6 linked regions of the Nothobranchius furzeri genome follow. The protein of the gene in region 1 interacts with the protein of each later gene in a pairwise test. Links are inferred from orthologs where the notes say so. Each region holds a gene or a part of one and is shown in the gene's direction. Other genes may lie near its edges. The genes, in order: ift20, exoc7, washc3, traf3ip1, nucleoporin p54 and kxd1.

Region 1 (4,031 bases):
ACATGGTCTACAGGAGGTGTTTGAACCTTAAAGAACACAAAGTGTTTAATAAAACAACCAAACACTTTAAAATTCTCTTTCTGTTACACTTTAAACATCTAATAGCTCCTGTGATTCATAACTATTTGTATCATTCTCAGTTAAAAGCACTTGATAAAATACCTTAGTTGTTATTTAAACGAATACGTCAAAGTTTAATGTTTATTTTTGAGAGATTATTTGGTAATGCGGTTGTAGTCATTTTCAGAGGACATCGTACTGTGTACTTCCTGTTTCCGTCTCAGATAGATGGTGCACCAGTTTATCTGAAGTCCAACAGATCCAAAACACCTATGAGGCTCCAGTAGGGAGTTTTTCATTTACTCTTGTCCCAAAACAATCAGTTTAGCTTAAGATGGAAGCTGCTGCTTTCTGGTTAAAGTTGTGTGGCTGCTAAAAAATTCCGATAAAAAAATAGTTTGGGGCCCAGTAACAGTTAGGTTAGGTGATGATAACTAAACTCCGTGTAAACACAATATTTAGTTTCACATGCGTGTTAACTCTGATATACAGTTTCAGTTCAGAATAGCACAGGTCAGTGGAAACTAAAGCTTTTATGCTGTATGTTTATTCGTTTTACTGTATCTTGTTAGCATGTCCCGCTAACATTAGCCAAAAACTCAGAAAAGCAGATAAACAACAGATCAAATATTAGAAGCTGAACGCACTGAAACGATATCGCTGTTTGCATTAAATGCATTTCTAGTAAACGGAAAACTAACTCCTGAATATTCGTGATCACGAGGTAAAACTTCAATAAACTAAGGAAAAGTAAAAAATGGCCAAACTGGATCCTACAGTTGATCCTAAACACGGTATGAGTCTGTAAGCTTTAGTTACTCACCGTCCTCTTTTTTATGATTTTAAGTAATATTTACAACAACAATAAACAAATGGAGTTTTAAATGATTTTAAAAAAGAAAGAAAACAAAACAGACGTATCCGTTTCTTGTTCTTTTTCTGGAATGGCTGTTAGCGAACTGCTTTTTCGGTTCATTACCGTCACCTTCCGCATTGGGGTGGAACACCCACAGTAGATAAGAGAAACAACATATAGTTGGGCTTTTTTTTTATTTAATTTTTTTTTTTAGATTTAAATTTTAGATCATTTATGTCACTGAGCGACTGACTTGGTCACAGTTCTAAAAACATTACGATAAACATGTCACTCCCGTTCTCCGGTGTTACCTCGATACGAGTCCTCCACCCACCCTAGAGGAACTCATGTTGACGTAACACACCGGTAAAGTATTCAAACGGAAAAAACATAGGGGACAGCGTTGTAACGAAACAGTGAATAGTTTTGTTATGATAATTAAGAAGGATAGGGGAAAACGACCACCCCCAAAGACCCCGACACAGCTGTAGCTGTTTGGTTTCCTTGGCAGCGACAGGAGGAGCTTAGCTGCTAGTTCATCTGCTCTGCCACATCACACGGGATAAAGCCTATCAGCTCACGACTGTAACAGGTAAAACATACACATTTGTGTTTCTTATCTTCATAAAAACTGGTCATCTATTATGAAGTGGTGACAGAAAACAATTTGTGGCATTTTTGAAACATCTAGCTATGCTAGCTAACTTAAATCATCTAGCTGGGGAGTTCTTAACATGACCGAAACAAAATAAAAGCATAATCTTTCATTTGGTGACACATGAACTTTCATTCAGCCGAGGTTAATTTAAGGTGCTGTTAATTTAAGCACTAGAGTAGAAGGAATCCTGCTTTACCGAAAGGTTTGCACTTGAACATCTTTAGTAAAATAATGTGTTTTACTTCTGTTTGTTTTGAACCTGCTCTTGTGTGTATTATGATGATAATGGGGTGTTACCTGTTAGGTATATTATCCTACAAACTATCTGATATTACTAAACTAAGTTGCATCTGTCGTTGATGACAGGCCTCTGGCCATGGCTAAAGACCCACTCGCAGAGGCAGGGTTTTATTTTGATGACCTGAACAAGCTGCGGGTGCTAGAGCCTGATGTCAGCCACAAGACGTCAGAGCTTAAAGAAGAGTGCAAGGACTTTGTAGACAGTAAGCATGGAGATTTTACGTCCTCATCCCCACCCCCACACTTTTCCAACTATTTATTCCCTTTCATCATCACCAGCCTCAACAGTGTGTGCAAAATTGTCTCCTCTGTTGCAGAAATTGGACAGTTTCAGAAGACCGTGGGTGGTCTAATCGAGCTGGTGGACGAACTGGCAAAAGAAGCAGAAACGGAGAAGATGAAGGTAAGTCTGACACAGAAAGCAGCTTTGTATGTCCCTGTTTTCTCTCCTGATTCTGTGAAACTTTTAGTGGTATCGGGTTTATGCTCTAATCATGTGTAAGCAGAACTTATTACTCATCATCCTGTCCTGTAGGCGATTGGAGCCAGAAACTTGCTGAAGTCTGTGGCAAAACAAAGAGAAGCCCAGCAGCAGCAGCTTCAGGCCCTGATCACTGAGAAGAAGATGCAGTTGGAGAGGTAAAGTAGCGCGGTGCACGTGTGTCAGATGGGTTAGCATGACCCTTTAGGGACACGTGACCTTCAGAACAATAAACACCTATAAGGGTACTTTTAAAATACTTTAGTGATGAACTTTTTTGTTTTGTAGAAAAATATAGTTTTTAACCTTCAGATGTTTTAAGGTAAATGATGAGACTATTATTTTGAAGGACTGAAGGAAGTTTTTTTTAGTTCCACTTTGTATGCTATAATCAAATTTGTGCCTCAAACTCAGTAAAAAGCCCTGTTTATGTAACATTAGTAATAAAATGGAACAGGCTTCAGGAGCACACAGTGTTTTACTTAATTCAGTTGTTCTTGAAAAGGCTTTTTTCTACTGCCTTGTTTTATTTATTTGTTCCTCGGCGAAGCTGAGGCAGGAGCAGCAGAGGAATGGGGGTCTGGAGTATTGTGCTGGGAGTCAGCTGTAGTGAAGTGGACCTTCATATTTACCCCAAGTTCTAACTGTCGGTCCCGTCCTGTGAGCTGCTGTTGTGTTTCAGGTATCGCATCGAGTACGAAGCCCTGTCCAAAGTGGAGTCTGAACAGAACGAGTTCATCGACCAGTTTATTCTGCAGAAGTGAGAGAACACGAATAAAGAACGATACATTCAGCCTCTGAGTGCCTTTCCAGAGTGATTGTCATTTTAAGTCACTCCTACTGGAGCTTCGTCATCTGAAACCCAGCTTCAGTGTCATCAGGAAACCTCAACACCCGTTTCTGCGGCGCCGATCTCAGACGTGTGTGCGTGTGTGTGTGTGTGTGTCTGCAACACATCAAAGCAGCCATGCTGAATGCTCAACATCAGATGTGTCTATATCAAAGTCCAACAGAAAAATGTAGATCTATTTATATGAAGCAGCATTATTAATACTTTTCATGATGAAAATTAATCTGTATATCTAGTTTTGTAACTTTTTCTATGAACTGTCATGAATTCTGCATGTGATTGTTAGCAAGTTTCAAACGTTTCCTTGTTATGAAAGCCCGTTCTAGCCGACCTGCGGATATAAACACAAGCTTTTCTTAGATTCCTACAGATGTTTTACTTGAATACTGTGTATTGAATAAATCTGTCTTGATGGTTGGTGGGTTAATCTCACATGTATGTTTGGTTTTAGTAAAACTCCCAGGATTTTCTTTTTTTTTTACCTACAGAACAAAAAGTTGCTTTAAATCTGAGAGCTGTTTACTCCTCAGAGGTGTTCCCATGGAGCCTAGTGAACTAGACCAAATTCTTGCTTTGCAAAGTTTGCAAATAAATAATAAATGAATTGTGCAAACAAATAATATAAGTAATACGATTATTTAGTCTGGCTTGCCAGGCTAGTTCCCATGCTGTTAGAAGAATAAGAAAAGATCTGTTCTAAAGTGCCTCAAGATAAAAATCACGAGGCGCTTCACAAAAAATGTAAAAGAATTTAGAAAATGATTAAAAATCAGCAAAAACAGACAATTGTGATTAAAAATGTAAAGAGAGAATAGGAAAGAGGGAA
Region 2 (3,500 bases), on another chromosome or scaffold:
TATGGAGAAAAAAAGAAAAAAGAAAAAAAAAACACCGAAAAAGAAGCACAACAGCATGACCAGCCACATTACCGTCCTGGGTTAACCCTGTTTTCTTCATTCTTATACTTATTTAAAATTAGGTTTTTATATTTTACTTTAAACTGGTTTGTTTTTACTTTCTTTTATCTCTTCTGTTGGACTGTTCCATAATTTAACTCCTGCAATTGCAATTGACCTAGTTTTTAAAGTTGTTCTAGCACTTTGTATTTTTAAATTCAATTTCCCTCTTAAGTTATACCCACCTTCTCTTTGTTTGAACAATAAACAGATTTCTTTTGGAAGCAATTTATTTCTTACTTTATTTACAATTTAACACCAGCAGTGACTTTCCACTCCCATTATTACCTGTTCAAGTGAAAACATCAATAAAACGACTGAACAAGAACATAGTGACAATATAAATAACAGTAACCATCTATCATTTTAGTCATTTGTAATAATTTACATGAAAACAACTATTAGTATTTAAATTATTTATTTATTTTACATTTAATTGGGTTTTTGGGGCCCATTTCAGGACCACAAACTTGGTGTTTCACGACCCACAGTAAGGTCGCGACCCCAACTTTGAGAACCACCGTTTTACTGTTTGCACAAATTGACTAGGGCAGGGTACAGAGGATGTAATGGTCAGAGCTAAGAGTCGAAGCAAAGCTTAATATTGACAGTAAATCACATAATGGTACCTTTAACTTGTTCATTACGAGATAACAGCTTGGATATTATTTCTGCAGAAAGCTCGTTTTGAGAAGGGTAAAGAGCTGCTGGAGGCCGAATTTCGGAGCCTTCTGAACCGCTACAGTAAACCCGTCCCCCCAATTCTCATCCTGGACGTTATCAGTGTTGATGAAGACATGGAGCTGCAGGAGGAGGTGTTGCTAGAGCACCTGCCTGAGGCTGTCCTCCAGGATATCATCTGCATCGCCAGCTGGCTGGTGGAATATGGACGCAACCAGGGTATGACTAGTTTTAGAGGTGTCTTACGTCTCACTATTTATGAATATTTGGTCCTAAAACTTTTTGGGTTAAACCTGTGGAGTCCTCATCATTGTTTTGGTTCCATAAGTCCAACAAATTGTCTTCAGTCTCTGGGCAGATTTTACACACCAGCTGTTCCTGAAGGTTGATTTTCTTTTATGGTTCATTAATCACAGCTTCCAGGGTAATCATCATGCAATAGGAGGTGGTTCAGGTTGTAGTCCATAACCACCGGTAGGTGTGGGCCATGTCGGGACCAGGAGGAGACCATGGTGGAATCATTATTAGCTGAAATAGTTAAAATACAGAAAATACTTTTCCCCTTATAGAAGCCCATTATCTCTGAGCTAAGTGTTGTCAGACTGTGAGGTATTTAGACACTTCTCTCCCGAACCATCTCTTCTTCTCCTGTCTTCAGATTTCATGAACGTCTACTACCAGATCAGGTCCAGTCAGCTGGATCGCTCCATCAAAGGCCTGAAGGACCACTTCCGTAAGAACAGTGCCTCCTCTGGGATCCTCTACTCTCCTGCTGTCCAAACCAAACGGAAGGACACGCCCACCAAAAAGATTCCAAAGAGACCAGGTCAGCAGCAGATTCCTCTGAGCTTTTGTCTTCATGACCTTTACGCCTTTAGCTGGACCCAGCAAACAAGTCCGAACCTGTTAGATGTCAGAATCTGATTTCCATCCAGCCACGGTCCTCTGAGGATTTGTCAGAGACTCCCTGAGCTTCAGAGATCCTGTCTCTGGTTTTAAATATCTTAGGTGTGTTCTTGCTGTGCGTTATTTCTAATTCCATGTTGTCGTTCTTTTTAAAACACAGAACCAGTTTAGTTTACCTGTTTTGTAGCTACGTTTCGCCGACGGCTGCCGGCTTCTTCAGGCTGACGCTGATGGTGGCGCGTCACTTCCTTCTCCGTTTATCTGCGGGCTGCGCTGGACCACGCACGGGACTGCATCGTCGGAGAGGGGAGAGCGGGCAGTAGAGGGCGACAACATCCTCTGCTGCCCGCAGATAAACGGAGAAGGAAGTGACGCGCCACCATCAGCGTCAGCCTGAAGAAGCCGGCAGCCGTCGGCGAAACGTAGCTACAAAACAGGTAAACAAAACTGGTTCTGTGTTTGAAAAAGAACGACAACATGGGACCTGGTTTTAAATGTTCTAACCATCCTTCATCCTTTCCTCTTCATAATCCCTGTGTTCCGATGACATCAGTCTACATCCCAGGTAAATGCAAAGCTTCAGTGTGAGCACTGTGCTTCCTGCTGTCCGCCTGACGCCACGCTTCGCCTCCATGTCAGTTCGGTTTTCGCTCAGCTGTGTCTGACAGGTCGTTTTCAGCGTGAAGGCCTTTAGCTTCATGGTGTGGAAAATGTCTCATACCGAAAAGGTGAAGCTGATTAAAAGTAATGAGGCTCGTTGCTGTTCCAGACAAACACCCTGGAGTTCCGGCTCACTTTACGGAGACGGGATCCCTAACCCCCAAATTCCACTACCTCCGCTCCGGTCCGTCCCCGCCTTCCGCAGCCGCTCGCTTCCGAACTCAATTTTTCTTGGTACCCGCTCTACAACGGCTCCGCTCCGGTGCGGAGACCTGAGGTGGGCAAACAAGCGTGCGCAGGATTTTCGAGATCTTGCGATACAGTCCGAGCAATAAACGCGGAAGTTTAGATCCAAACACCCGTTGTGTGGGAGAAGCATCGACAAGAACTGCTTAATCTGCCCATCATTTGTGTTGAGAGATCAGCAGTGTTTGGATCAACAAAGTGTGACTACTTTGACAGTAGAAACTGTATTTATGGCTTACTTTTGTGCATTTAAACTTCAGCTGCCATTGATAGTTGTTAAAAGTTGTTAAACCTGTGCATATGAAACAAAAAACGCCTTTTGTTTATCGATTTATTGTGAAAAACGGAAGTTGTGCTTGCTCCTTTTCCTGTTGGGCGGTTGTGATTTCTGTCCATTTAATGCGGAGGTGCTCCGGCGTCCGGCAAAAATAGGATCGATTCTATTTTTGCCGGACGCCGGAACAGAGGGCGGCGCACGGCGCCGCACTGCTGGAGCACGGCCGCAGTAGTGGAATTGCTCTGATTGACTACAACGGGACCGATTTTGCTCCGGCGTTCGTGTCGGAGCGGAGCGGAGGTAGTGGAATTTGGGGGTAAAGGTCTTCTGCTGTGGAGGGTTTCAGTTTGTCTAGATTGGTTGTTGTAGTTTAAATCAGGAACCAGTTCTTGACATGTACTGGTGAAGAGGTTTGTGTGTCAAGGCGGTTCAGAAGCGTTTCTAACTATTGTTTATTCCTAGTCAAGCTGTGATGAAGTCTTGATAAAAAGTACATTGCTTAAACGTAACAGAATGTCAGTTGTTTAGCAGCCTGTTGTTGAATTAACTCACATTTAATGCAAACGTCTCAAAAAACATTTGATTAGCAAAATCCTGAGTGAAAGGAGCAACTTTCCAGACTTACTTCCTG
Region 3 (4,149 bases), on another chromosome or scaffold:
CTGAGACACCAAAACAAGAACGTTTGCATGTGAAACAAAACACCATTCACCCTGGCCTTCAATCCGAGAAGGAGATGCGCTCTCTGTCTGTGGTTGATCAAACCAGGAACTGCTTCTGTCAGCATGGACACAAACTCCTGCAGCTTCCCATAGTTCATCACATCTTTCCCCTTCATCAGATTCCACATAGCAGCAGACAGAAGATGCAAGGGAGGCACCAGGAGGCGAAAGGAGGGCAAAGGGAAGTTTGGGTCTGAAACATTAATGTGTAAAGTCAGAAATGACCGATGGAGGGCAGTAACACACCCCCTAATTCAGAGAGCATTCAGAGTACTTGCAGGAAACAGCAGGTGGATAAAATTTTCACGATGTGATTTTGCAAAGTTCTCACATTTTACACATAACTGAAACAGTTATTGGCTTCATACAGATAATTAAAAACAATCAAGCAATAAAACAATCACGTGATCTGTTACATTGTTGTCTGTCATTTGCTTGCTTGCTTGCTAAAGTCACTGAGACCAGTCAGTGACTGGATGCAGTTTGCTGGGTTCCTTATATAGGAAACTTTTTTTCCTGATTGGCTTAATGAACTGACCTGTATTGGAATGTTAACTATGTGAAGTGCCTCGAGACGACTCTTGTCGTGATTTGGCGCTGTATAAATAAACTTGAATTGAATTTGAGCTACAGGCTTTTGAACTGGAGAAAATCCTGGACAGATCTTTAACATTTTAGATACACAATCTGGAAAATGTCCACAGATGTTACTCAAAAGCTTCGCAACTTAGTTAAAACAATATATCGCGTAAGAGTGTCTGTACATTTAACAGCAAGCTAACTTCCACTGCGCAACAACAACAGTCTGCCAAATAATGAACATTGTGGTTCCTTTAAATAGACAGAGCCCACTGATAGTAAAACAAACACGTCTCCAGAAAATATCAGAAAGGCAAACTGGTAACATACATACCCTCCATTTTTTCTTTTGATTCCACAACTTCCATTAAAGCATCCCACCAAGTGAATTTGAGGAATCTGTGTATATTTGTGCTGTTTGTTTTGGTGGCTAATGCGCTATTAGAGCGCAAGCATCGCTTCCTCAAGTATTCACTCAAGTTTCCGCTTTTCAAAATATATGTCTGAAAGACGTGTTTTGGTGTTTTCTAATGAATTTCAGAATGCTATTATTTTCAAGTTCTTTTTTACTTCAAAGCCAATGACTAGATAAAGAAAAAGTTTAGAAAATTTCGACAGCTCGAAATATAAAAGTGTGAATTCGAGTGCATTGATGCCTCTTCAAAATAAAAGTTAATCATTTCCTTTTCCTAGAGTGACGTAATCACGTAGCCAGTCACACTGCTCAGTGTCACGTGAAGCCTTCAACGGTGTAAATGTTTTGTTTCATGTCATTTTTTCTTTCAAATTTCGTGCCATTAGACCTGAAACCACATTCCTATTCACAGGAAGTGTAAAACGCTAACATGGACGAGGACGGCCTGCCGTTAGTCGGGTCAGGAGTCGATCTTACGAAGGTTTGTGTTTCTAACTGGTTAGCTAACACTGAAAACCTGAGAACCCAAAGCTATGTTTGTGCTTTTTAACAAAATATATAATCACTAATGCAGAGAAAACTGTGGCCTTTTTCTAACTAATTTCACCTACTTGTAACTGTTTGCCTAGTCATTTTCCTTTTGGTTTGTTCTAAAGAAGTATCAAAAGAGGAAAGAACGTTTTCTCTCCGAACACTGATGTTCTATTTGAATACATCATTCATTAGATTCTATTACCGGTGTTGTGCCGAAAAGAGCTTGTCTGCGAAAATGTGCATCCCCTGCGGGAAGGCGCGTATGAGACCGCTTTTTAATAAATGTGTACAACATGAGCTGCATCCTTCCTTACAAAATGATGGTTTATGAGCAAATAAGTAAAATAAACTACTGTTTATAACATGTTTTATTTTAAGTAATATAATGCACATATAAAAGGTTAGTCATTTTGAGTCTGCTTTTTTAAACCAACAAAATTGTTTAATACTTGCTAAAACATTAGTGTCAAACGTGTTGAAAAAGGTCAATTATTTAATCATTATTTCATCATATTTGTAGTCAAAAACAAAATCTTTTCAGGAGAAACACGGATTAGAAACGTGTTCAAATTCTGAATTGCTCATAATTCAAATTCTTCTTCAATTTGCGTCTTTCGACGGGGATACACATTTCGGTAGGCGTGCTCTTTTCGGCACAACACCTGATATACAGTAGTCTGTTATTCCAAATGTTTTTCCTCCACACCGATTTGCATCCATTATATGCAAAGTCAGACATGTGGGTAGAGTAGCCAGAGATTATACTCAAATAAGAGTAGCATTACTTTCATATATGTTTACTTGAGTAGTTAAAAAAAAGTACAAAAACTGTGTTTGCAAAAAAGCTGCTCAAATAATGAGTAATCATAACAGCTCCTTTAATTTATAAAATCCATTCAAACAGATAATAGTATAATGTTATATGATAAATTATATAATGTAAAGACTTAATTAAAATGTTGCATTTCTTTTTCCTAAAAATACTCAAGTAAATATAATTAGTAACTACCCAACACAGAAAATCAGATTTGATAGTTTTCATCATTCTTTTTGCCATTAGCATTTTGTTTGATGCAAGACTTTAAAGGTAGAACTCAGCTGCTTTTAAAATTCTCTCAAATACTTGAAACTTTGCAATAATCCACAGGTTACTGTATGTTATTGTGTTGTTTAAATAACACTGCTAACACATGACCCTGGTCTGTTTATGTAGATGTTGTTTATTCTCCCTGGTGTTAATTGTTGTTTTGTACTGCTTTGTTTCAATAAAGATTTACAAAAAACATTTTAACAGCAGTAGTTAAAAGTCATTTTAGAATCCCCTCAATATTATTTAAAGCCATAACATTCAAAAATCAATTATACTAGAGGTTTATGTTTAGTAAAATAAACTATAGTAACACTTGGTAAGTTTTTAATTATACTGCTTTTATCTTTTCTCAGGTTCCTGCAATACAGCAGAGACGAATCGTTGGATTTCTCAACCAGTTTGTTGTGCACACCGTACGATTTCTTAACCAGTTTTCCACCGTGTGTGAAGAGGTTTGTGTTTGTTTGTTTGTTTTTTACTCCTTAATGCTTCTTCTGCCTCAGAATATGAACTCAAATTATGTATTTATTTATTTTTTTTACTTCTCTTCACAGAAACTTGCAAACATTTCTCTTCGCATACAGCAGATTGAAACCACACTCAGCATTTTAGAGGCTAAGGTAACTTGTGAGACCTTGATACCGTTTCTGGATGTTGTCTTTTCACTTATGCAGTGACATTGTTCTGAGCAGCTGTCCTCTATTCCTGGACTGGAGGACGTCACAGTAGAGGGCCTCAACCAACAGCAGGCCTCCCACACTAAAGGACCCAGTACTATCGGTCAGAACCTAACTAACGGTGTAGCAGCAGGACCACCTTCTTCCTCAGAGGTAGGAGTTCAGACCCACCTGCAACAGACATGCAGGTTCAATCGGCCACGATGAATGCCAAAACAGTCTTTGTGTCTTTTTTCTTGTTTGGGAGTCTGTGATGCCAAAAATCGGCAGTTGAACTTTTCTTTTTAAGTCGGAATGTAGATTGTCATCAGCTCTTTGGTCGATGCAACAAGTAGAAACCTGCCGTCAACGCAACTGTTGTTTTGTTTTCTTTTGGAGTTTACGTACAAAAAAGGCTCAACATTCCCCTCCTGTTGTAAAGGATAGACTTTTAGTTTTGAGAACCTTCAAAGAAGTATGTTTGTTACTGGCTGCTTTGTTTGCATAGTGATCGGATTGGATTTTGATTGTCCTCCTCACACTCTGACAGGATTGTAAAATCCTATCCAGAAGTGTGACGTTACATATTTACAGTGAGAAAGGTGGAAAACCTTCAGGGCAGATTTCCTGAGTCTGCAGCACAGAGTTCAGGCCGAGGTCAGTAAACAAGCCATCACTTTTGGTTAAAACAGTGCACCAGGTCAGCTCAAACACCTCCTGTCCTCTGTAAAGCACGGTGGCAGGGGGCTGATGATTTGGGCTTATTTCTGCAGTGACTGAGTCAAACATGAACTCCTCTTTACACCAAAGTGGTC
Region 4 (4,104 bases), on another chromosome or scaffold:
CGGTCAATCTGACTGATGAATGATCAGAAACATGGAGGCTGAATGAGAGCGACCCACCTTTTGACAGAGATGGAGCCTTCTCCTTCTTCTTCTGTTCTTCTGCAGCGGCACAAGCGCCGATCAGCAGAGCAAACACAGCCCAGTGAAGCATCTCCTCGTCCTCTGGAGAACCAGACAGCTGAATAAGGCGTGCACTTTTAAAGCACAAAGCATTTTTTGAACTCTTACACCCGCAGAGCTCACTGAAGGGCTTCAGCTCTGAGTCACCAAACAAGTCTGACAGGCCGGCGCGATGATGCCGCGAAGGAAGCTTGTTTTATGTTACTATTATTTTTATATTTTATTTTATTATGGATGACATCATCACAGCTGTTTACTGTAATCAAAATAGGAATGAGTCTTAATGTATTAATGCAGCTTCTTATTTAATCTCAATCCAATGAACTATTGTACCTTTTTTTCTTTTTGAAAGAAACAGCATGTAACTTTGCAAGCCCTTACGTAGCATTAAATGGTTTAAGCATTACATTTCTATTCTGAAGAGCAGCGAACAACTTTCCAGCTGAAACTGAATCTGAATTTTCTGATTTTTGGCTACTGAAGTCACTCGTAGTGGATGTCTTACCTGTCCAGCGTGAAGCAGCAAGCGTCTGTTTGAGCTGTTCTTCTCACCTTACCTTTTGTCAGACTTTTAACCGAACTTGCCAAACGGGTAAAACAAGCATCCTGCTTTAAATGAAACACAAAGAAAGGTCTATGACTTATATGAGACATATTTGCATGCATGGGAAGTTTGGGCACACCTTCATACGATTTCATAATTCATACTTTCATAAATAAAATTCTTTGAAACACTGACTCTAAATGTAGTATTAGTGCTTGTTTAATAAATCCAGTTAGAAAATGCTTCATTAATCCCAGATGGAAATTAAGTGTTGTTGTGAATAAGGAAACAATAATAAAAACAATAAAATTTAGGTATCTATCTATCTATCTATCTATCTATCTATCTATCTATCTATCTATCTATCTATCTATCTATCTATCTATCTATCTATCTATCTATCTATCTATCATCTGTCTGTCTGTCTGTCGGCCTAATCTTTATTTATTTTTGTTCTTGTGAAGCACGTCGTGGTTTTTATCTGGAGATGCGCTGTATACACGATCGTTTTCCTTATTTCGTTTCTTTCTACATAGCTAGCTACCGTTGCTATGGACACAGAACACCTAGCAACCGAAAGCCTATGGCGCATGCGCAGCTTTCGTTCGCGGTGCACTGTGGGATTGTTGGATATTGACATAGCAACGGAGCCCCAGAGCCGCCTAGCATTCGTGTTTTAGACCAGTTTTCGCCCCTTTTCTAGCAGCTAAATTGTTCAGTTGGGATTTCATCTGCCGCCATGAACGCAGCGGTGGTGAAGAGGACTCAGGACACGCTGGGGAAAGTCATAAAGAAGCCGCCGTTAACGGAAAAACTGCTAAACAAACCGCCGTTTCGTTACCTTCACGACATCATCAGTGAGGTGAGACCGACTAAGGACAACAGTTACGTTTAAAGACATTTTATAAAGTTAAAAACTGTATATGAAGCCCTTGCGTGTGCTTTATTATCTGTGTCCATGAAAGGGATAGCTCTAACCGGACAACCCTCACCAGGAGCGAGTTAGCTTAACCGCAGCTGTTCAAAAGCGGTATCACTGCATTTCTCCTCTTCAGCACCCAGAGCGAACACGCGTTAAAGACAAGCAGCTGCTAACGTTCATTATTATGACTGTACATGTTTAGGTTGTACTTGCTTCACACCTGCTGCCGAGCAGCTGACCACAGCTGTCTTGTTGGATGCATAAGTTCTGCCTTTTTGTATTTAATGTACAGCAACATTTGATCGACATCTAGATGTTAGATGTTTACAAACGTAGGATTCACCAGTGTAAGTCGTAGGTCTGGATAAATATTAAAATTTGTATTTTATTTGTAGTATCAGCTCCAAATAATGACAGTGTAAATGTCAAAAAGTATTATTATTTCAATGATTGTCCCTTCTTAAGACAAAACTTACTCTTGTCTAAGTAGAAATGGCAGAACGAGGGTAAAACACAAAGGCAACATATTTTGTACATCAAACATTTTCCTGTTATCTTCTGGCAACTGACGTTTTCTGAATAAGGAAAATTTAGAATATTTAAGATTTTAAATAACCAAAAACCGGTTTAAAATACTATTTATTTGAATAATGTATCTACACAAGAATTAGAATCATAATATATTGTAGAGTGCAGTCTGTCGTACTGTTTGTGTTTGGGGCATCATTAGATGCTCTTATTTTGATGAGCCACTCTGCTGTTTTCCTGATTTATTTTTGACTGACGAGCATTTCCTAACTGAATGAGTATTTGTGCAGAAAAAGTGTGTTTTCATTATTTACCTAAATTATTTAGGTTATTATTCTTCCCATAACTGAGCATCTGTGTGTGTGATGTGTGTAGAACAATATGACGTCAGCTTCTTGTGTTAAACCCTTTTTCTGCTCATGTTTGTGTAAAAAATAAAATCGTACATTTGTGTTTGTGTACATGCTTAAGAAAGCAGAACGGGTATTCACAAACAGGATATATTAGCAAAATGTATATAACTGCATGAACTAAATAATACATAATATATAATGTAATTTTAAAAATATTTTCTTTAAAAGCATGTTTTTTTTACAATTAAACTCATATTTTAACTCTTTTCTTTAACAGATTAGAGACTAAATCTATTTTCTAAACAGAACTGAGATCTTATTCTCTCACCACACTGGTTGGATGGTTTTATGTTTCACTCTAGCTTTATTTATAATTAATTGAGGTTAGCATTCCTATAGCAATATTCTTTTATCTGACTAAAGGAATTCAGTTGTTTAAGACATACTTGATTGAAAATTAAAACATTTTGCAGCCATAAGTCTGCTTTAAGCTTGCTTCCATAAAATCAAAAACATTTTGTGTTAACTTGTATTAGAATGATGTAGGTTTTGCAGAAGCACCTATAATATTTGTATAATAACAGTAAACCTTTATTTTCCTCTTGACTCTAAGGTAATCAGGAGCACTGGTTTTTTGAAAGGCCTCTATGGAGAAAATGAAATGAAGTCAGATAGTGTAAAGGTAAGCTTACTCTTGCTATATTTACTTGATTTTTGACCTTTTTTTCCCCTGAAAAGACTAATTTGTTCAGGATTACCCCCGTGTGTTTTCACTGGGCAGCCTGAGTCACCAGATACGCCGTCTGGCAACACTGTGAGCTAGAAGATCTGGCAGGCAGAGACTGAGTGTTTGTCGAGGTGTCAGAATGCTAGTCTGCTATTTGCAAGGCGATCCTTGATTAGGACTGAATGAAAGAGAGCTACACCGAGTCTTCTCTGCTTACAAACGTAGCTGCACGCTGCCCGTTTCTTACTAGTGAGAGAAATGAGTTGTTAGTGTTGTGTTTTACATTTCCTCCCTCGAACAACGAGGTAACAAGCGGTTAAACCCAGTCACTCTGGGGGTAAGATTCATATTTCAGTTTCATCACTTCAGCTGTCAGGAGTGCAGAGAAGTCAGTTTGACCAACAAGTCCTCCTGGTCTTTGGTTTATCAGTTTACTGACCTGCTTTTGCACAAAACAAATGATGTCATCATTTCTTTTTGGTATGGAACCAATTTTATTTAGATTTTGCCTTTAATCAGTTTATATTTTAAATGTTTTTGTCTCGGTAACGGCTTTTTTCATTATATCTCATTCTAGGAAAAGGACTCAAAAATAACCTTTCTTCAGAAAGCGATAGATGTCGTGATGCTGGTGACCGGCGAGCCTCTGGCGGCCAAGCCCGCACGGATCGTTGCCGGCCATGAGCCGGAGAAAACCAACGAGCTGCTTCAGGCCATCGGCAAGTGCTGCCTCAATAAGGTCTGCATCACACACACACGCGCGCGCACACACACACGCACGCACACACACACACACACACACACACATGCACTCACACTCACACACACACACACACACACACACACACACACACACACACACACACGCGCGCGCACGCACACACACACACACACACACACACTCACACTC
Region 5 (3,981 bases), on another chromosome or scaffold:
ATTGATTGTTACTGCTACAAACACGTGTCCTGAGTGTCTGCTTGCTATGAAATGTTGCATCTTGTTGTTTTTACTCTGTACACAAAATAAAAAAGTAGTTTCAGTAGTTCTGTGTTTGCCTCTGAGTTTGGTGAATAAGATGTGAGTGCAGAGGGAATTAAAATACAGGAGATTAGCTGCAGACACGGGAGCAAGGATGAAACCTCCAAAATCTGTAACTTTGACAAGCGTTACGATAAGTTTCAAGTTTACATAATATTCTATTCGTTTTTATTTGTAAATATCTTTGCCATACTTGCATAGCAGCAGCAAATATAAATTCACCCATACATGGACTTAGTTTTTTTTTTGGAGGGGGGAGGGGGAAGATGTCCCCCCACTTTTTCAAAAGTCAATTTTTGTCCCCTGCACTTTTTACCATCCACAAACAATATTACGCTACATTAAATTGGCACTGGTTGAGCACTAGGACCAAGCGGAAAACACCTGCTTGTGTTGAAGCCTGTTTCTCGTTAGAACTGTCTATAAGCTCATCTGTTGGCTCTACTAATACTTGAAAAGATGGCAAGCTATATAAATGAATGAGTCTTGTCTTTTGTAAAACAATTCAGAATATTTTTTATTTCATGTGTGTATGTTTGCATTCATGTAATAGCCCAGAAATCTAGATCGACTGTAGCACAAGCAAAAGGATATAGGGTGGCTTGCTAATTCTTTTGTACTCAAACTAAACTCATGAATGATTCTGTGTTACCAAAGGTAATTTATAATAAAATGTATGTATAGTTTGTATGGATAATAATAATAATAATAATAATAATAATAATAATAATATACGGTTCATGGCTCTTCAAGGACTAATAAACCTCAAAAGCTTCTAATAATTGGAGATTCCCTTTATATTATTTAGAATGTAAGCACTTCCTCTAATACTTTATTTTCTTGTGCTTATTTTTATGTATGCTCATTCATTGAAATATGACTGTTTTCTTTTTTCGAACATAATAGCTCGTCGTGTTTTTATTTGTACTATAAAGTTGATCAAATTAAAGCTGAACAATGTTAAAATCCGGACACTAGGTGGCGGAAGAGCGTTGCTTTGTTGAAGTATGAACAGTCTATGAGTATGAACGATGTGTTGAGAAATACAGAAACGATTAGACTAACTCTAGTTTCAGCGCCTTTGGCTTCCTGACAGGGTCGTGGAAGGCGCTTTATAATTAAAGCTTTGATTGATTGATTATGTAGGAAAACGCACACATGTGTACTAACCAGTCCACACTCCGTGCCAGTTGGTGGCAGTAATGTGGCACGACGTTGGTCGCCAACTGGCATAAAACATCAAACAGGAGAAGAAGAAAAGAAGCGACGAAGAAGAACTGACATTCGCCAACATGGCGTTTAGTTTTGGCGGCGCCACGAGCAATACAGAAGCAAGTATGGACTTTAGTTACCTCTACTTTGTATTCTTTCTCTTAGCGAAAGCTGTGTCGGATATGTGTCATAAACCAGACGCCACAAGGATATGAACGCATTACTAGCATATGTAGTTAGTACGTGTCGCAAGCTAACTGCTGTTGAAGCATCATGTAATCTCACAATCCGGCCAATGCAGCAAACTTCAGTGGGTTGTGTTCCACGTTTTAAGTTAAAGTCATAACTAGTTTGTTACGTATTCAGATGCGGGACAGATTACTTGGTCATCTACCTTTAGCAGTAAAGCCTCCCCATGTTAGCGTCATGCTACGAATCAGCTACTAGTTAGCTACTGTATGAAGTTTTCAGAAAAGCATCGAAGGATACAGTAGAGATGTAATCCAACATTTAAAGACTCGTTTATGTTCTTTTAAAGGCGCGCCCGGGTTCTCATTCGGCGCATTTGGTGCCAAGACGACGGCATCAACCACGTTTGGATTCAACCCCACGGCCACCACGACCACCGCTTCTTCAGGGTTTGGCAGTAAGTCACGCTCCTGACCCACATTCAAGAGGTCTTCTGTGTTTTGTTTTGGCTTTCATTCGTGTGTGTGTGTGTGTGTGTGTGTGTGTGTGTGTGTGTGTGTGTGTGTGTGTGTGTGTGTGTGTGTGTGTGTGTGTGTGTGAAAAAGCTCTAACAGCTCCTGGTTTTGGGACTGTCACCTCCACTTCTGCACCCGCTACAGGATTTAGCTTTGGCTCCACCAACACGGGTAGGACAAACATTAGTTTTAAAGCGCGTTTCATTCGTTTTGTTGATTTTTAGACGATTAACTCACTGAAGAGCTGGTGCCAAATGTAGCATTGTGTCATTTAACTCCGTGTTACTTTCTTCTTGCTGCCTGCCTGCTTCGGCTACAGGATTTGGGGGGCTTGGAGCTGGAAGCACCATGGCTGGCGGGTTTAGTTTTGGGGGGTTTGGTTTAAATGCCAACCCAGCAGCAATCAGCTTTAATGCAGGGTGCTTTGGTACAGCAACCACTACTGGCACTATTTTCAATTTTGGTAATAGCCTGACTAGCACAGGTAGATGATCTCTGTGATCGAGTTCATTTTGTGTTTGCAAAAATCGTTTGTGTCCACCTCCATGTGATGCAGTGTTTTTCTTTCTCCATCTCACCTGGTGACTCTTATACATCTATGTTCTGAAGTTTCACTGTTTTTGCATGAAAGACTGTGTTAAACTATGCTCTCATCTTGTGTGATGATGAATGTGGACATTCAGTACATTTTTTGCAGAACATCATGTTTGATGGATGTCATTTGATCATTGCCAGAAATACTTTTCTGCTACTCACCATGCACCCAGTGATTTCCAACTCTTGTTCTCTCATCTCCTTTCCCTTTAACTCCTTTCATTGGAGGGATTATTCTTTGATTTCCTTTCCAGGTACATTTGGTGGCTTTGGGGCAACGACAACAACAGCTGCTGCACCGGGGTCCACTTTCAGCTTTACTACCCCCTCCAATACAACAGGTTAGTAACAGAGTAACCTCTGTGAGTACACATTTAGAGCAAAATAAATATTAAAGCTGTGCGTGGCGACATTAGGAAGAATTTGGACTAACTTGAATATAAAAAATATATATTGATGGAACCACCCCCCAGCTTTACATGTTACTCTGAAGGTGCTGGTGAATACTGCTACTAGTAGTCAAAGTGGTGATTGACCGTTAGAGGTCTCATGCCTTTACAAGATATTTTTACTGAGACCCTGCTGATTCTCCAGAGCAGGTTAGGTTTCCAGTTTGGGAATTGCATGAGATGACACTTCTCGTCTGCTAATCAGTAATGGTGAGCAGATTCACCATTTAATCAATCGATTGCACTGTGACACTTGCCAATTCAATAACAATTTATAAATATATAAAAAAAATATATAATGAAATGCCTAAAAACAGCTGCTAAGCACGGCAGGAACATAAAAGTTGCACGTACCATTCGTACACTTTAGGGGACGGACCAGCGGAAATGTAATAAACAGCAGTAGAGAGCCTAAGCCACGCCCATTTACTTCCAGTCCGGTCTACTTCCAGCGTGTGAATGACTGTTCTTCGTGGAAGCACTTTCGAGTCCTCTGACACAGAAATGCCAATTACCATTTCAGTTTATTTACTATAAAATCACAAATGAATGTTTAAGAACATGTGTAAGATGCAGGTGATGTCCTATTAACACCAGTTCAAGTTACTATTTTATCCCAAATAAACAACCAAAACAGCAGGTTCTATGATGCTATATTCTTGTTCTAGCATGAACACTGAGCTGCTACAAGATGTCTCACTTTACCAAAACACGGGGCTCTCCTTGTTGCTGTGTTCCTTCTGCAGAGCTGACAGCATCTTTTCTTTTTTGGGTTTTAATTTGTTGCTTTTGAATGCGTTTTGTCTTAGGAGGCCTGTTTGGGAACACAGCCAACAAAGGGTTTGGATTCCCAGCAGGACTGGGAACCGGTACCGCTACTGGAACATCAGGGTTTGGAACTGGATTAGGAGCAACTGGAT
Region 6 (4,195 bases), on another chromosome or scaffold:
AGATATTTAGAATGTAAAAAATAAATTATTTTTACTTTTTCAATTCAATTCAAAAATACTTCATTAATCCCAGAGGGAAATTGATTGCTGTAGTAGCTCAGAATGATAATAATAATAATCAAGTCATCAAAGAGTTATTGTATATTACAATGGCTGTTGGCAGGAAGGATCTCCAGTAGCGGTCAGTGTTGCAGTGAAACTGAAGAAGCCTCTGACTGAAGACACTCTTCCGTTGTCGGACAGTCTTGTGAAGAGAATGCTCAGGGTTGTCCATCATTTTCTTGATTCTCTGGAGATTCCTGGAGATTCCTTCTTTGCTTTATCTCCTCTAGCGGAGTCCTGGCTGAGTCCTTGAAAGGGCTTGGAGTTCCTCCATCGTGTTGGCCAGTGATCTAACAATGGCCATTATGATCGATGGAAGAGATGGTTTGAATTTCCTCTTTCTCTGTCTCCGTTTTGCTCACGCTCTGCACCCACGCTTCTTGCGTTTTAGTTCATTTGGGATTTGTGGCTTCAGTTGAGGTATTATTTCAGCCTTTCCCATGTTAATCAGCTGCTCCTGATTGTAAACAGCTCGTTGCCATGGTTACGCATCATAACAAATGCTCAAAAAGTGAAAAATGCTAAAAAAAAAAATAGCAGTAAAAATCCTCCAAGCTTCACAGCACCAGAAACAGAAAAGTAAAGTGTCCAAAAAAATACAGTTTTTCTTGAGAAACTAGAAGAAAAAATGCCCAAGAAAAGGCAAAACGTACATATAGTCAACAGAGCTACTCCAATATGCAGCCACAGTGGCGCAATTCCGGAAAAAGATAAAGATATTTTAGTTTTTAAATTTGTTTTTGTTTTTACATTTTTAAAACCCAAGACAAATTTAATATGAAATGGATATAGGGCGTTTTCAATCTTAGAAGGCCAACCAAAATCTGTTTTTCAATCACAGCTTTTCAATAACTCAGCTCAGCAGTTTTATGTTTTTGAGAATTTTCTAATTGAAAATTACGGATTTGTTGGAAAAACACAAAACAAAAACAAAGATAGAAGCAGAATGGACATTAATGTTAAAGCTAAATGTGGCAAAAAGAGGAAATCAGCATGTTTTATGAAATGTTAAATTGGTATTTATAAAGTTAAATAGAACTGTACAGATTCATCTTGACTTGATGACTAAATAACTGAATATATCTCTCAATTTCAAATGAATTGTTTAACGAATTCACGGTAATATGTTGGTGGATGGATTTATAACTAAAAAAAAAAAAGGCCAGAGTCCAGAAAGTTCAATGGGGTTAGAAAAGTCAAGAACACCCCCAGAAAGAGCTAGAAAATGCCAGAAAATGACCAGTTGTGTGCACCATTATACAGCAGGTGGCGGCAATGAGTCGCAAAAGTTGAAAGATACCCGCCGAAGAAGAAAATGAACCAGAAACAGTCATGTAAACAGAAGAAACAGAAATACACGGAAGTGTTTTGTTTTTGTTTAATTTGCCTGTCAAATGTAGTGTTCTGTTGAAAACCAAGGTTGATAACAACACCTGTTGAGGTAAATGATAATATTATTCCTTTATTTTTCACGTAGTATTACCTTTAGCGCAGAAAAACCGCTCGGATGTGAATAAAACAGCCGATTATTTGGATTAGTGGATTTGCAACATTTTTCTCTCGTAATATTTGTAGAGAACTTTAAGTATTGCCATGCCTGATTTGGTGCGTGTTGTTTCGTTTATGAAAATGCAGGTTTTTCGTCGTCATGGTGGAGCCCACAGCCTCCAGTGTGTTCTGTAACAGGATCCTGAGCATGGTTAACTCTGAAGATGTGAATGCCATCATCCAAGCTCAAAGACACATGTGAGTATCAGGCTGTTCTTGTCTGTGAGGCCTGATTACACTGTGTGTAAAAATTTGAGTTGTTTTTTTATGTCAGTTGTAACGTTTCTGCCTTTTTTCTATTATGATAGTTATTTTCTGCCTAATCTTTGTTTCATCAGGCTCGATCGCTTTGAGAAAACCAATGAAATGCTGATCAACTTTAATGGACTGTCAAACGTGCGACTGCAGCAGATGAACGAGCGCTTCCTGCACCACACCCGCACCCTGGTTGAGATGAAGAAGGATCTGGATAGCATCTTCAGAAGAATCAGGTTAGTCATTACTCTGCCTGCACAAACAGGGACGCACAGCCCAACCTCTAATAACTGATCTCCTTTTGTTTCCTCCAGGACATTAAAAGGGAAGATTTCTAAACAATACCCTGATGCTTTCAGCAGTAAGTTAACATTTGCTTATTATCCAAAACAATTCTCAACTTGTAATGAGTTCATTAGTCTGTTGATTTCAATCAATGAAATCAGTAAGTGTTACCTGCATAAATTATTAACATTTCTGTTTTTATTTACTTCTTTTATGGCCTTTTAAAAGTGTTTTTCTGGCATCAAGTAGTAGATTTATTTATTTCTAAATACAATAAAACAGTATTGTTACAAACATTGAAACTAATTTGATTTCTATTCAATTCACAACTACTTTATTAATCATCATGGTAGAGAGGGGGGATGGGTGCAGGGAAGGTGCTAGTTAAGAAGATGCTCTCTGAAGAGCGGGGTCTTCAGGAGTTTCTTGAAAATTGAAAAGGAAGCTGCTGTCCAAGCACTACCAGAATAGGGGCTTGCTTTTCAATTTTCAAGAAACTCCTGAAGACCCTGCTCTTCAGAGAGCATCTTCTTAACTAGCACCTTCCCTGCACCCGTCCCCCCTCTCTACTGTCCACTCCTTTGTTCCTTCCTCTTCATGATTGATGTCAAGTTGTTGTTATTGTTGTTGTTAGCCTCAAGGGCAACATGCCGATTATCACTTGTAAGTCGCTTTGGACAAAAGCGTCTGCTAAATACATAAATATAAACATAATCACAGAGGGAAATTGATTGCTGTAGTAGCTCAGAATAATAATAATAATCAAGTCATCAAAGAGTTATTGTATATTACAATGGCTGTTGGCAGGAAGGATCTCCAGTAGCGGTCAGTGTTGCAGCGAAACTGAAGAAGCCTCTGACTGAAGACACTCTTCTGTTGTCGGACAGTCTTGTGAAGAGAATGCTCAGGGTTGTCCATCATTTTCTTGATTCTCTGGAGATTCCTGGAGATTCCTTCTTTGCATTATCTCCTCCAGTGGCTCTGAAACTGCCGAAACTCTGGCTGAGTCCTTGAAAGGGCTTGGAGTTCCTCCATCGTGTTGGCCAGTGATCTCACATTGCCCATTATGATTGATGGAGGAGATGGTTTGAATTTCCTCTTTCTCTGTCTCCATTTTGCTCCCGCTCTGCACCCACGCTTCTTGCGTTTTAGCTCATTTGGGATTTGTGGCTTCAGTTGAGGTATTATTTCAGCCTTTCCAATGTTAATCAGCTGCTCCCGAATGTAAACAGTGTGTTGCCATGGTTACACATCATAACAAAGCTCAAAAAGTGAAAAAAGCTAAAAAATAGCTGTAAAAATCCTCCAAGCTTCACAGCACCAGAAACAGAAAAGTAAAGTGTCCAAAAAAAATACAGTTTTTCTTGAGAAACTAGAAGAAAAAATGCCCAAGAAAAGGCAAAACTTACATATAGTCAACAGAGCTACTCCAACATGCAGCCACACAGAGCAGCGCAGTTCTGGGTGGTACAGGGAGTTTGTTTGTGTTGAAAAGTTTTTAGAAAACATTGTTCTTCTAAATCTCCAACAGCCATTTCAATAAATCCGGGTTTTTACTTGACAGATGTCCATGAGTCACCTATTTTGGATGATGATGATAATGATGAAGAATTTGACCCAGTACCTCCAAGTTTTGCCACGACAATCACAGCGGCCACCTCGGAGCAAAGCACCGATTCCTGTGACACAAGCCCCGATGTGGTTTCACCCGCCGTCAGCCGATGCTCAGAAGATCTCTCTCAGGAGCCTACCGACACACCAACGTCTGATGGCTTAGAGACAGGAGTTCTGCAAGATGAGGGTCCTGACTCTGTACATGAAGAATAGAGTGAACAATTTGCAAAAAAGATTTTAGTCACTCGAAACGGCTTCAAAGTAAGTCATTGAGCAGCAGGTAATGCTGTGTATTTCAGTGAGCACGGGCCTCTGTAATTGTTGTTATCTTGTTATTAATCTGTTAAAGATCACAAACTCTACAAACTCTGTAGGAAAAAACTGATTTTTC

What was found.
Region 2: the proteins of ift20 (region 1) and exoc7 interact in binary tests that used the Homo sapiens proteins (3 or more experiments, as listed by UniProt). The two-hybrid records come from large-scale screens. The link is inferred for Nothobranchius furzeri from reciprocal best matches to the Homo sapiens genes IFT20 and EXOC7.
Region 3: the proteins of ift20 (region 1) and washc3 interact in binary tests that used the Homo sapiens proteins (3 or more experiments, as listed by UniProt). The two-hybrid records come from large-scale screens. The link is inferred for Nothobranchius furzeri from reciprocal best matches to the Homo sapiens genes IFT20 and WASHC3.
Region 4: the proteins of ift20 (region 1) and traf3ip1 interact in a two-hybrid assay, tested with the Homo sapiens proteins (2 studies listed by IntAct). The link is inferred for Nothobranchius furzeri from reciprocal best matches to the Homo sapiens genes IFT20 and TRAF3IP1.
Region 5: the proteins of ift20 (region 1) and nucleoporin p54 interact in binary tests that used the Homo sapiens proteins (3 or more experiments, as listed by UniProt). The two-hybrid records come from large-scale screens. The link is inferred for Nothobranchius furzeri from reciprocal best matches to the Homo sapiens genes IFT20 and NUP54.
Region 6: the proteins of ift20 (region 1) and kxd1 interact in binary tests that used the Homo sapiens proteins (3 or more experiments, as listed by UniProt). The two-hybrid records come from large-scale screens. The link is inferred for Nothobranchius furzeri from reciprocal best matches to the Homo sapiens genes IFT20 and KXD1.

What each region holds. Positions count from the first base shown.
Region 1 is NC_091753.1:22,422,731-22,426,761, reverse strand, and holds ift20 (intraflagellar transport protein 20 homolog), read left to right. Parts: upstream 1-1,231; 5' UTR 1,232-1,508; intron 1,509-1,940; 5' UTR 1,941-1,950; coding exon 1,951-2,077; intron 2,078-2,191; coding exon 2,192-2,277; intron 2,278-2,409; coding exon 2,410-2,513; intron 2,514-3,037; coding exon 3,038-3,119; 3' UTR 3,120-3,705; downstream 3,706-4,031. UniProt on the Homo sapiens protein: Part of intraflagellar transport (IFT) particles involved in ciliary process assembly. May play a role in the trafficking of ciliary membrane proteins from the Golgi complex to the cilium.
Region 2 is NC_091756.1:53,828,735-53,832,234, reverse strand, and holds part of exoc7 (exocyst complex component 7), read left to right. Parts: intron 1-776; coding exon 777-999; intron 1,000-1,438; coding exon 1,439-1,606; intron 1,607-2,239; coding exon 2,240-2,251; intron 2,252-3,500. UniProt on the Homo sapiens protein: Component of the exocyst complex involved in the docking of exocytic vesicles with fusion sites on the plasma membrane.
Region 3 is NC_091741.1:43,372,339-43,376,487, reverse strand, and holds the start of washc3 (WASH complex subunit 3), read left to right. Parts: upstream 1-1,349; 5' UTR 1,350-1,484; coding exon 1,485-1,535; intron 1,536-3,031; coding exon 3,032-3,130; intron 3,131-3,232; coding exon 3,233-3,298; intron 3,299-3,370; coding exon 3,371-3,508; intron 3,509-4,149. Other genes in the region: uncharacterized protein, read right to left, coding at 51-253, 974-1,007. UniProt on the Homo sapiens protein: Acts as a component of the WASH core complex that functions as a nucleation-promoting factor (NPF) at the surface of endosomes, where it recruits and activates the Arp2/3 complex to induce actin polymerization, playing a key role in the fission of tubules that serve as transport intermediates during endosome sorting.
Region 4 is NC_091754.1:2,499,749-2,503,852, reverse strand, and holds the start of traf3ip1 (TRAF3-interacting protein 1), read left to right. Parts: upstream 1-1,304; 5' UTR 1,305-1,403; coding exon 1,404-1,526; intron 1,527-3,080; coding exon 3,081-3,149; intron 3,150-3,771; coding exon 3,772-3,933; intron 3,934-4,104. Other genes in the region: agr1 (anterior gradient 1), read right to left, coding at 58-194, 626-729, 1,209-1,304.
Region 5 is NC_091746.1:59,725,120-59,729,100, forward strand, and holds the start of nucleoporin p54, read left to right. Parts: upstream 1-1,181; 5' UTR 1,182-1,394; coding exon 1,395-1,437; intron 1,438-1,852; coding exon 1,853-1,960; intron 1,961-2,108; coding exon 2,109-2,189; intron 2,190-2,337; coding exon 2,338-2,502; intron 2,503-2,866; coding exon 2,867-2,953; intron 2,954-3,870; coding exon 3,871-3,981. UniProt on the Homo sapiens protein: Component of the nuclear pore complex, a complex required for the trafficking across the nuclear membrane.
Region 6 is NC_091744.1:73,270,766-73,274,960, forward strand, and holds the start of kxd1 (kxDL motif-containing protein 1), read left to right. Parts: upstream 1-1,395; 5' UTR 1,396-1,543; intron 1,544-1,737; 5' UTR 1,738-1,750; coding exon 1,751-1,848; intron 1,849-1,988; coding exon 1,989-2,141; intron 2,142-2,219; coding exon 2,220-2,266; intron 2,267-3,754; coding exon 3,755-4,017; 3' UTR 4,018-4,195.